Nothobranchius furzeri: one gene and its partner. The main gene of each other region encodes a partner of the protein of the gene in region 2 in a complex. Links are inferred from orthologs where the notes say so. Each region holds a gene or a part of one and is shown on either strand. Other genes may lie near its edges. The genes, in order: lats1 and wwc1.

Evidence for each region.
Region 1: the proteins of wwc1 (region 2) and lats1 are in contact, whole or in part, in a crystal structure (PDB 6J68), measured with the Mus musculus proteins. The link is inferred for Nothobranchius furzeri from reciprocal best matches to the Homo sapiens genes WWC1 and LATS1. Residues at the interface, in NP_740749.1 of Mus musculus: Asp17, Tyr23, Ile25, Asp26, His27, Arg30, Thr31, Thr32, Ser33, Trp34, Asp64, Val67, Tyr70, Ile72, Asp73, His74, Lys77, Thr78, Thr79, Gln80, Ile81; in NP_034820.1 of Mus musculus: Ala546, Glu547, Ala548, Pro549, Ser550, Tyr551, Gly553, Pro554, Pro555, Pro556, Pro557, Tyr558, Leu562, Leu563.

What each region holds. Positions count from the first base shown.
Region 1 is NC_091742.1:11,406,656-11,411,128, forward strand, and holds the end of lats1 (serine/threonine-protein kinase LATS1), read right to left. Parts: coding exon 3,302-4,473; intron 2,818-3,301; coding exon 2,235-2,817; intron 1,826-2,234; coding exon 1,643-1,825; intron 1,446-1,642; coding exon 1,339-1,445; intron 1,263-1,338; coding exon 768-1,262; 3' UTR 618-767; downstream 1-617. UniProt on the Homo sapiens protein: Negative regulator of YAP1 in the Hippo signaling pathway that plays a pivotal role in organ size control and tumor suppression by restricting proliferation and promoting apoptosis.
Region 2 is NC_091750.1:71,292,965-71,297,398, reverse strand, and holds the start of wwc1 (protein KIBRA), read right to left. Parts: upstream 3,094-4,434; 5' UTR 2,872-3,093; coding exon 2,753-2,871; intron 1-2,752. UniProt on the Homo sapiens protein: Regulator of the Hippo signaling pathway, also known as the Salvador-Warts-Hippo (SWH) pathway.

The DNA of each region.
Region 1 (4,473 bases), on a different chromosome or scaffold from region 2:
GCTTCTGCTGTTTAAATCTTTGAATAACAGTTTAGATTAATTTAGGAAATTAGAATTGTTTCACGGCGGTATTACACTTTAAGCTTGGTTCTGTGGAGTAGCTGTGAACTTATGTCTGAACAGAGGCTGTTCATGAAGCTTTTACACAGAAACATGTTTATAATCGGCCATATCATCCCTTTCAGTAGATCTGTCTAGCAGGTAGATGGAGAAAAATCATGGTTTCCAGTGAGAAATCAGGAATATTAGATGTTTATTTACTAGCGGTTTTCCTGATTAGAGTCTGAAAATCCATAATCTGTGGTTCCACCTTCTCAAATGTGACACTTTGATATTTCCTTATACATGTTAACCCCCCCCCCCCCCCCCAAAAAAAAAACCAGATTTGGTGCGTTTCAGGTTTCTCTCGTCATTTCTTATAATCATCTTTCACAAGTCAGCAGATTTCAGTCTTCATGCTCTGCAGAGATAACTGACTCCAGGTCAGTTTCATAGTTGGAGATCAGGTGTTTCATTTTTAACTGTGATCTCGTGCTGCAGCGTTCTGAGTGCTCCTATAACCACACACTCCTATGTTTTAAATGCTTTATCATTGCAAACCCCTCCTCTCTCTCTCACTCTCACTCTCACGCACGCACACACACACACACACACACACACACACACACACACACACACACACACACACACACACACACACACACACACACACACACACACACACACACACACTTTCTATGTACAAGCAGCTTAGTGGGTTTCAGGATCTACACGTAGACCAGATCCCGGCCTTGTTTCCCGGCCTCGAGCTCCGCGCTCTCCATGTCCGCCTCGTCCTCGTCATAGCCCTCGTACTCGATGGGTTTGGGGCAGCTGTAAGGGTGGCCGTTGTCGTCAAAGAAGCGCCGGAAGGTAAACTCGTAGAAGGCGTGCTCGGGGTGCTTTCCTTTGCGGAACCAACAGCTCAGCGTGTCGTTGTGGTTGCCCTCGCCATTGCTGCTCCGCAGCTTTTCAGGGTCCACTGGGTCAAAGTTGGAGGTGTCTGTGGAATGAGCGATGGTGGGGACGTAGGGTGCCACCTGCTGTCTCAGGTCGCTGGAGAAGTCGATTCTTTTGAAGAATGGATGAGCTTTGATTTCATCTGCGCCGTTCTTACCAAGGCGATCCTCTGGGTCGCGGCAGAGTTTAACGATGAGATCCGACGCCTCTGGGGTGAGCTTGGCTTGAGGGGGGATGTGCAGCGTGCTCTTCCAGTTTATCACCTGGTTTCAACGAAAGAGACGCGGCTTTAAGGAACTCCGTGGCTGCAGAACATTTCACAGCAGGTGCCTCTCATACCTTCAGCTGCGTCTCCAGGGGTGTGCTCGCCAAGAAGGGAGGTTGTCCAACAACCATCTCGTACAGGATGACCCCAACGCTCCACCAATCACAGAGCTGAGTGTATCCTACAGTTATACAGGAAATGACATCACTAAAAGACGTTTGGAATTGATTTTCTTTTTCATCAAGATGTCAATATTTAGTTTCTCAGCTTTTATTTTGAAAAACAGAATAAAGCTGTTATTTACCATGATGTGGATTATTAGAGCAAAGATTTGAAGCAAAAATAACATAACTGAACATTTTTAAAGGAAAACTTTACCTGTTCGGAGCAGAACTTCTGGTGCGATGTAGTTGGGCGTTCCCACCAGTGAGTGGGCCAAACAGCGCTGGTGCTGCCGGGCCTTCCTCCTCTCCAGAGGCTTCAGACGCTCTGAACAGCGGCAGTTAGCTTGATCCTCCCACTCCTTACTGAAGTCCATGCTGTCCTGTCTCTCATGATCTCCTGCAGAGATAAACAGACACATAATTTAAGACTTAGACATCTTTATTTGATAATTCCTTGTTGCTAAATGATGCAATACTGATTTAAAATGTGCTTTTGTTGATGTAATTTGGATTTATATTATTGCGCTGTACATTGATAAACAGAAATGTTGAATTGCACGAATCCAAAACATGTCAACAGCCTCCCGGCTTCTACTTTTTAGGCTCAACCTGACCTGAGAGACACAAACGGCAAGATATCTGAAAACAAAAAGGAAGATTTTCTATTGTAAAATCTTTTTTCATCTGTTTGTATGTGAATTTGACAGGATAAATGTTAACATTACCATTGTTTTACAGTTTTCATTCTAAAAGCTTGACGTAGCGACAGAAAAACACCTAACAAGACACTGAGCTTTAGCACCCACCGCTCTGGTAATACTTGGAGTCGTGGGTCCAGCGGAAGCCTGTGCACAGACCAAAGTCGGTCAGCTTTATGTGTCCGTCTCTGTCTATCAGAATGTTGTCCGGCTTGATGTCTCTGTGGATGAAGCCCATCTTGTGGACACTCTCCACCGCACAAGTGAGCTCTGCGATGTAGAACTGGGCCAGCTCTTCTTTAAAGATGCCGAGCCGGATGAGGAGGCTCATCATGTCCCCCCCGGGGATATACTCCATGACAAAATACAAGTTCTCCTTGTCTTGGAAGGAGTAGTAGAGACGCACCACCCACTCGTTGTCGGCCTCGGCCAGGATGTCCCGCTCGGCTTTGACGTGGGCCACCTGGTTCCTCAGCAGCACGTCCTTTTTGCGAAGCGTCTTCATGGCGTACAGCGACCCCGTGTCCTCTTTTCTCGCCAAGCACACCTCGCCGAATGCTCCGATGCCGAGGGTTTTGATCCGCTTGAACATGGACTTATCCATTTTGGCGCGCATTTGACGGATGTAGTTGGACTCCTTCTGGTAGAGCATCATACGCATCTGCTTCTGGGCTTCGTACGACAAACCCACCTGAGGATGGGGACCATAAAAATAAATAAATGCAGCTTTCATGCAATCCATGTTAAAATGAGACGTTAGTAATGAATGGAAACGAGTGACACCACCACAAAACGAAGTGAAATCTATCTTTCCTGAAGTGTTAATGATCAATTTACCCCAAAACAAAAATGTGCGTGCAGTGCACGGAGGCGGCTGCGGGATGGCATGCCACTCTTCTCATGCTTTCACTCGATGCAGGAGAAAATACAGATATGAGACACTTGACACCTTACTTGTGTAACTGATGTGTGTTTGGGCTTTTCTGAGTCACAGCACAGGAAAAGATACTTTAACCTCCTAGGTCAGCTGCTTGTGACAGCAAGGAGAGAAAGGAAGAGAAAGAACAGCTAAGAAAAACTTAAAAGTGTGGAAAAGATCGGAGATTTACCAAGATAAGACGGGGAAACCAGGTCAAAAAGAGAAAAGGACAGTTTCTTTTCATAGATGGTCTCACCCTGTCCATTTCACACTCCAGCTGCTTCCTCCTCCGAATCCTCTGCTGATGGTTCTTCAGGATGTTCTCCATGTGTTGCTCCATAAAGAACTTGAAGGCTTGGGGGGAATACAGATTGACTCTCCCAGACTCCCCTCTGCGCTCCTCATCTTTCTTGTTGTTACGGCGAACAGGAACAGGTGATGTTGTGATTTGTTTCCTCTCCTTCTCCGCTGCCGTGGTGCTTTCAAGACTTTCTGACACCTTCTCCCTGGAGGCGTCTCCACTGCTGCCGCTGCTGCAGCTCCTCTCCTCCTCAGGACTCTCCTCTCTACCCGCAACAAGCTTATTGGCTGCAGCGTCGTACGCAGGGGGCGAGGGTGCAGCCGGCTGCTGTAGGAGGTGTTTAGGGTACGGTGGAGGAGGGCCTATATAGTTTGGTGCCTCTAGTGCTGTGGGGATCTGAGGGACCTGAGGTGAAGGTTCTGGGTAAGCAGGCGCAGCTGGAGATGCTGAAAGGTGCTGCTTCCATGGAGGATGTGTGGGAGCGACGGCAGTGTGTAGCTCTGGTTTCTGGACTTGCGTGCTCGACACCGGCTGCAGGATGGGAGCCTGAGTGATGGCCGTGACCGTAGTGGCAGAGGGCTGGGAGCTGGCTTGATGAGCAGGTCTGCCGTTGAGCTGGTGGTTGTTAAATGAGTTTGAGCGGACTGGCACGTTCTGCTGCCATGACGGGGACAGGTCCTGGTTGCTGTTGCTCCAGTTAGACACCAGCATGGGAGGAGGGATGTTTCCACCGTTGACGTACGAAGGAGAGGATGCCGGCTGCTCGGTGGGACTGTGTCGGCTGCTCTGGTTGACTGGGTATGGAGGAGGGGGTTGTCTACTGCTCCCTGGTATGTAGTCCTGTTGAGCGGAGCCATTCTGAGTCCGAGTGGAAGGAGAAGTGAATTTATTCCCTGAACTTTGCATTATGATAGGCTGGTGAACTACGGGCCCTGGGTTGGCCCCGCGTTGATTCTGAGGAGGTGGATTTGGGTACCCATCAGGCCGAGCTCCTTGGGGAACTGGAGAGATTCGTGGAACAAAGTACTCCACATTCCCAGACCAGCGCTTGGTTGATGGGTTGTTGTCCCAGGGAGAATTAGAAGCCGCGACACCGCGGAGTGGTGGGTAGACAGGAGGTGGCCCGG
Region 2 (4,434 bases):
AGACAGGACAGGAAAATAGTTCAATAAAAACAACAAAACAAAGTGTTGAAAAGTAAAATGTAGGTAGATTTATCTCCACTACACGTTTTTACCTATAAAACAATAAGTTACACACATGTAATATTTATAAATTTGATACTATTCAGGTCACCTTCAACACTCAGTCACACACCCAGGGCCGTTTCAAGACATTTTGGGGGCCAAGGCAAAATGACCCCCCCCCCCCCCCCCACTGGGCTCCCCAGAAGCCTCTGTGTAATTCATACCCTCTCCAGTAGTTAGTTATACAGTGTTTATAAAAGCCCCTCAGACATTACTGACATGTTCTAATATTATCAGATGAAAAACTAAATTATCAGACATGCTGTCTCATCTGCTTCTTTTCTAAACTTGCAGAAAGTAACAAAACCATTTGAAAGCCACTATTTGTGGATTCTCTGAAAGTTTCCATGGAGTGTGGGACAACTTCTTTTTTCAGTCATTTTTGGAAATAGTGATCAATTTTGATTAATTCACAGCCTATGTTTAATTACATTTAAAAATTAGTTGTTTGACATCCCCAGTTATAATAAATGTCTACAGATGAGATCAAACAAAACAGATGAGAATTGCCCTTAAGCTGTTTAATTGGACCAAGCATTTTAGGTCACAGATAGATGTAGCTTAGGGTCTCTGTCTATACACCTTATAAGACAATTTAGGTGATGGCATGTTGTTTTTCTGCTATTGAACTGTTTTCTAATAATGTTGTGTTAAATAAAGTGAAGGAAGGAGAGAAATAACGTTTCCCTAGCAGTTTTTAAAAATTTCCCCATGTAATCCGATTAATCGATTAATCGTGTCGAGACCCCATCCGATTAATCGATTATCCAAATAATCGTTTGTTGCAGCCCTAGTGACTTGCTCTTTAAATTTTGAGACAGAGTTCTATTAATAGAACACAAAAATATGAAGTCGCTGAGAAAACATGAAACTGTAACATGATGGGTGGATTTTTGTATCAGGAAGTTTTATTTATTTTAAACTTTTTGTCTTCCGGAGAACTTCTTCTGGAATTCTGCAGACAAACGAAACACACGAGTCGTTGGAGGAGGTGACTCGCAGTTTCATCAAATTAAATACTACTATCTGTGACTCAAAGTACAATGAAACCCAGAAAAGAAAAGAGAATAAACAGTTTCTGGCTGCATGTTGACGACGCACTAATCCACTCACACACAAAGGCGGAATAAATAAGCCACAGAGAAAAATATGTGCTCAAGAATTCCAGACGTGAAGCATTAAATGGATTAGGTGTCAAAGTCCGGAGAGTCTTGCGTAACTGGTAAAGATGGAAAGATGAAAATCCGCCCCATCTTTCCCACATGATATCATGAGGAAGTTCTTCTTATCATAGGAATTTTAAGCCGATCACACCGAAGGAATTTTAAAAAGAGCAACACAAGTACATCACTCCTCTGCTCATGCTGGGATGGATGCATGGAGATCACAACCAAAATCCGACCTCAGCATGGAAAACCTGCACAAACGAAAGGTAAAGAAGAGCCCGGCCTTTGAGCCGTAGCTGAAACGGATGGATGGTTAGGATTAGCGCTAACGTTTCAGCTCACAGCCTCAAACTCTCTAATCTGTGTTTTTAACAGATTCAACTACAGAAATGGGAACCTACTGAATCCGACTACAGGCAGATCCAACTTTAAACCAATTCAATGTTCGATCATCTGTTGGGCATCAAGACACCAGGCTCATCCCTTGAGCTATGGGGCCCGTTTGCTGGCCAACTGAATGAAACAGCACGTAACTGTTTAAAGAACAGCAAAAAACCTTTGGAAAGTCTGGGGGGAAGTAAACAATTAGAGTAGAAACATGAATAAGTACGAGTAATTTACGACACCATGTGCTGTTAAATAAGTTTATTTATCTTTTGTGTGTTTGTTTATTAAGGGGATAGTTTAGATCTTAGTATGTTTATGTGGTGAGGTTATTAACTCATTCACTGCCAGCATTTTTACTGCCTTTTTTGAAGTCACAGAACATTGCACTCTTTGATGATAATGTCGACGCCAAAACTACCAAGACAAAGGGTACACTCACCTCTTACATCAGGAAGCATCAGTGCGTTTCGAGCTTTATCCATTCCTTCATAATCCGTTGTTGAATTGCGATCGGCAGAAGCTTTTCCAGTTCGTGCCTCACTTTGTTTTTTACAGCAGCGGCCCAACACGATCTCCTAAAACATGGATTTTCTGCTTCCTGATCACGTGACGTGTGACGTACGCGGATTAAGATCGGCTTTAGAGCTGAGATGTTTGTTCTCACGATGCGGGGGCTCGTTCCCAATTTCAAAGGTTTTAGACATTTAAACGAGTGCTATTTTTTAACCTGTAAACTGACTCCATGGTGAGAATTATTATGAAACGCCAGCCAGGAATAATGTACGCTGCAGCCAACTTCTGCTGTAAATAACAATGTCATGTGAAGTTCAAGGAAGGGTCAAAACGTTACACATGGCAACGAAATATCTGGAAACACTTGGCAACTGGCCTCCACTTAAACTAGCCGTTAGCTCATCAATCTAGACAAAACTAATCTACATTTCTCCAAACTAAGGTTGCTCACATGGCTATCAGGTATACGGATTTGTTCATAACATTTCTCCATAAAGGCTTTGTTAAACAGCTGAGCTGTCTCTTTAACGCCTGACACCTGTCAGGGGTCAAAGGTCGATACACCTGTCTCTCACATTCCTTACCTGTCCCGGGGGTCGATCCAGCTCGTGCAGTGGTTAATGTGATCAATGTAGTAAACTTTGCCATCAAAGTCTCTGGCTTCCTCCCAACCGTCCGGTAGTGGCAACTCCTTCCTCGGCATGTCAGGCGAGTCTCCATGTACCTATCTCCTCTCTACGTGGAAACACAACGAAGGGAGACCATCGCTCTTCTCTGTCATCATCAGCAGCGGAATCAGCAGTTATTTCCACCTAACGCTGTGCGGGCTGGATTAGGCCATCGTAATAATCCGAAACAGTCCACAGATTAATACCGAGGCAGCCCCGAAGCAGGCAGGGGAAATTGGAGCCGCTTCAGGGGGATGGAGAACTTCCAGGAGGCTGCAGTTCATCAGCATCCGAGCTAGAAACACAAAAACGGGGAAGACAACCCCTCAACACTGTCCGCTGTGCCTCTCATGGTGCTCCAAAACTTTCCAGGTCGTTTAAAGAAACTTGTAGGGGTCCTGGTGACAACTTTTAGGTTAACAAGAATTAGCCACGGTCCACAGAACACGGACACCGCTGCTCGGTTTTAACGGAAACAAACCGCAGTTTTATCCCCAAACACGAACAAGAGATAGGCGCCAGGACCGGAGCATCGCCGTTTCACAACAGGAACGGTTCCGAACGGCCCAGAAATTCCTCCAAAACTCCCGACGGAGCTCGTCTCCTCCGCTTTACCTCCAGCAGGCCACCATGTTCAGCAGCAGTAACCGATTTTAGCCGCCAGCCGCGGGATAGCGAACCCCCCGAGCCGCTCTTCTGTCCACAAACAGTAACGAGGTCACCCAAAGCGTTTCAAATCCCGTCAAACCAAAACAAACTCCGGAGAATCCCGTTAAAGTCCCGGTTCGAAGCGGACAGGAAGGAAGGTGCACGGCGGCAAAGTCGTTTCTTCAGACCCGATCACTTCGGTCAGCCGCCGTGTGCGTCAAGCAGCCTGCGTGCGCATCCACTCACTTCCACTTCCTGTTTCAAAATAAAACCAATGTTGACAAATCCAGTCTGAAACAATACAACTTCCGGTCCGAAATGTTTATGCAAGAGTTTCATGAAATGGACATAGAAATATAAAATAACTCAAAACACTGAATATTTAAAATAGGTTAAATCTCACATATCTGACAACAACATACTACAAAACATAGCATATGACATGAAAAAAATATACAAAATTGATTTTAAATGATCACAAACCTCCCATAATTAGCCCAGTAAAAAAAAAACCCCAGAAAGAACTAAATTAGAGATACGATTTTGTATTAAATAAATTAATTAATTTGATCACAGCTCAATTTGAGTTTGTACATCACCATTTCAATTGATTGCATACATACATATCAAAAATAAATATCTGCATAATCACTGGGCCAATTAAAACAATATGATAAAGTTGCAAAATCACAACAAAAGTTGGGCAAAAGTGAGGTGCACACCCACAGGAGGAGATCTGAAATAAACACTAAACAGATAACCAATGACGTGTTACAGCTTTGGGACATGTTGATAGATAAATGCGTAAATTGGAAAAAAGGTCAGACTAAATGTTTGACAGATTTTGTGTTTCTTTTTTCAAAGTTGCAGATGTAAAATGCAGTCTTGAACACTTTTCTGGATGGTCGGCTTGTTTTCCAAAGGATGATTTGCAGAACTTCCGCTTCTCC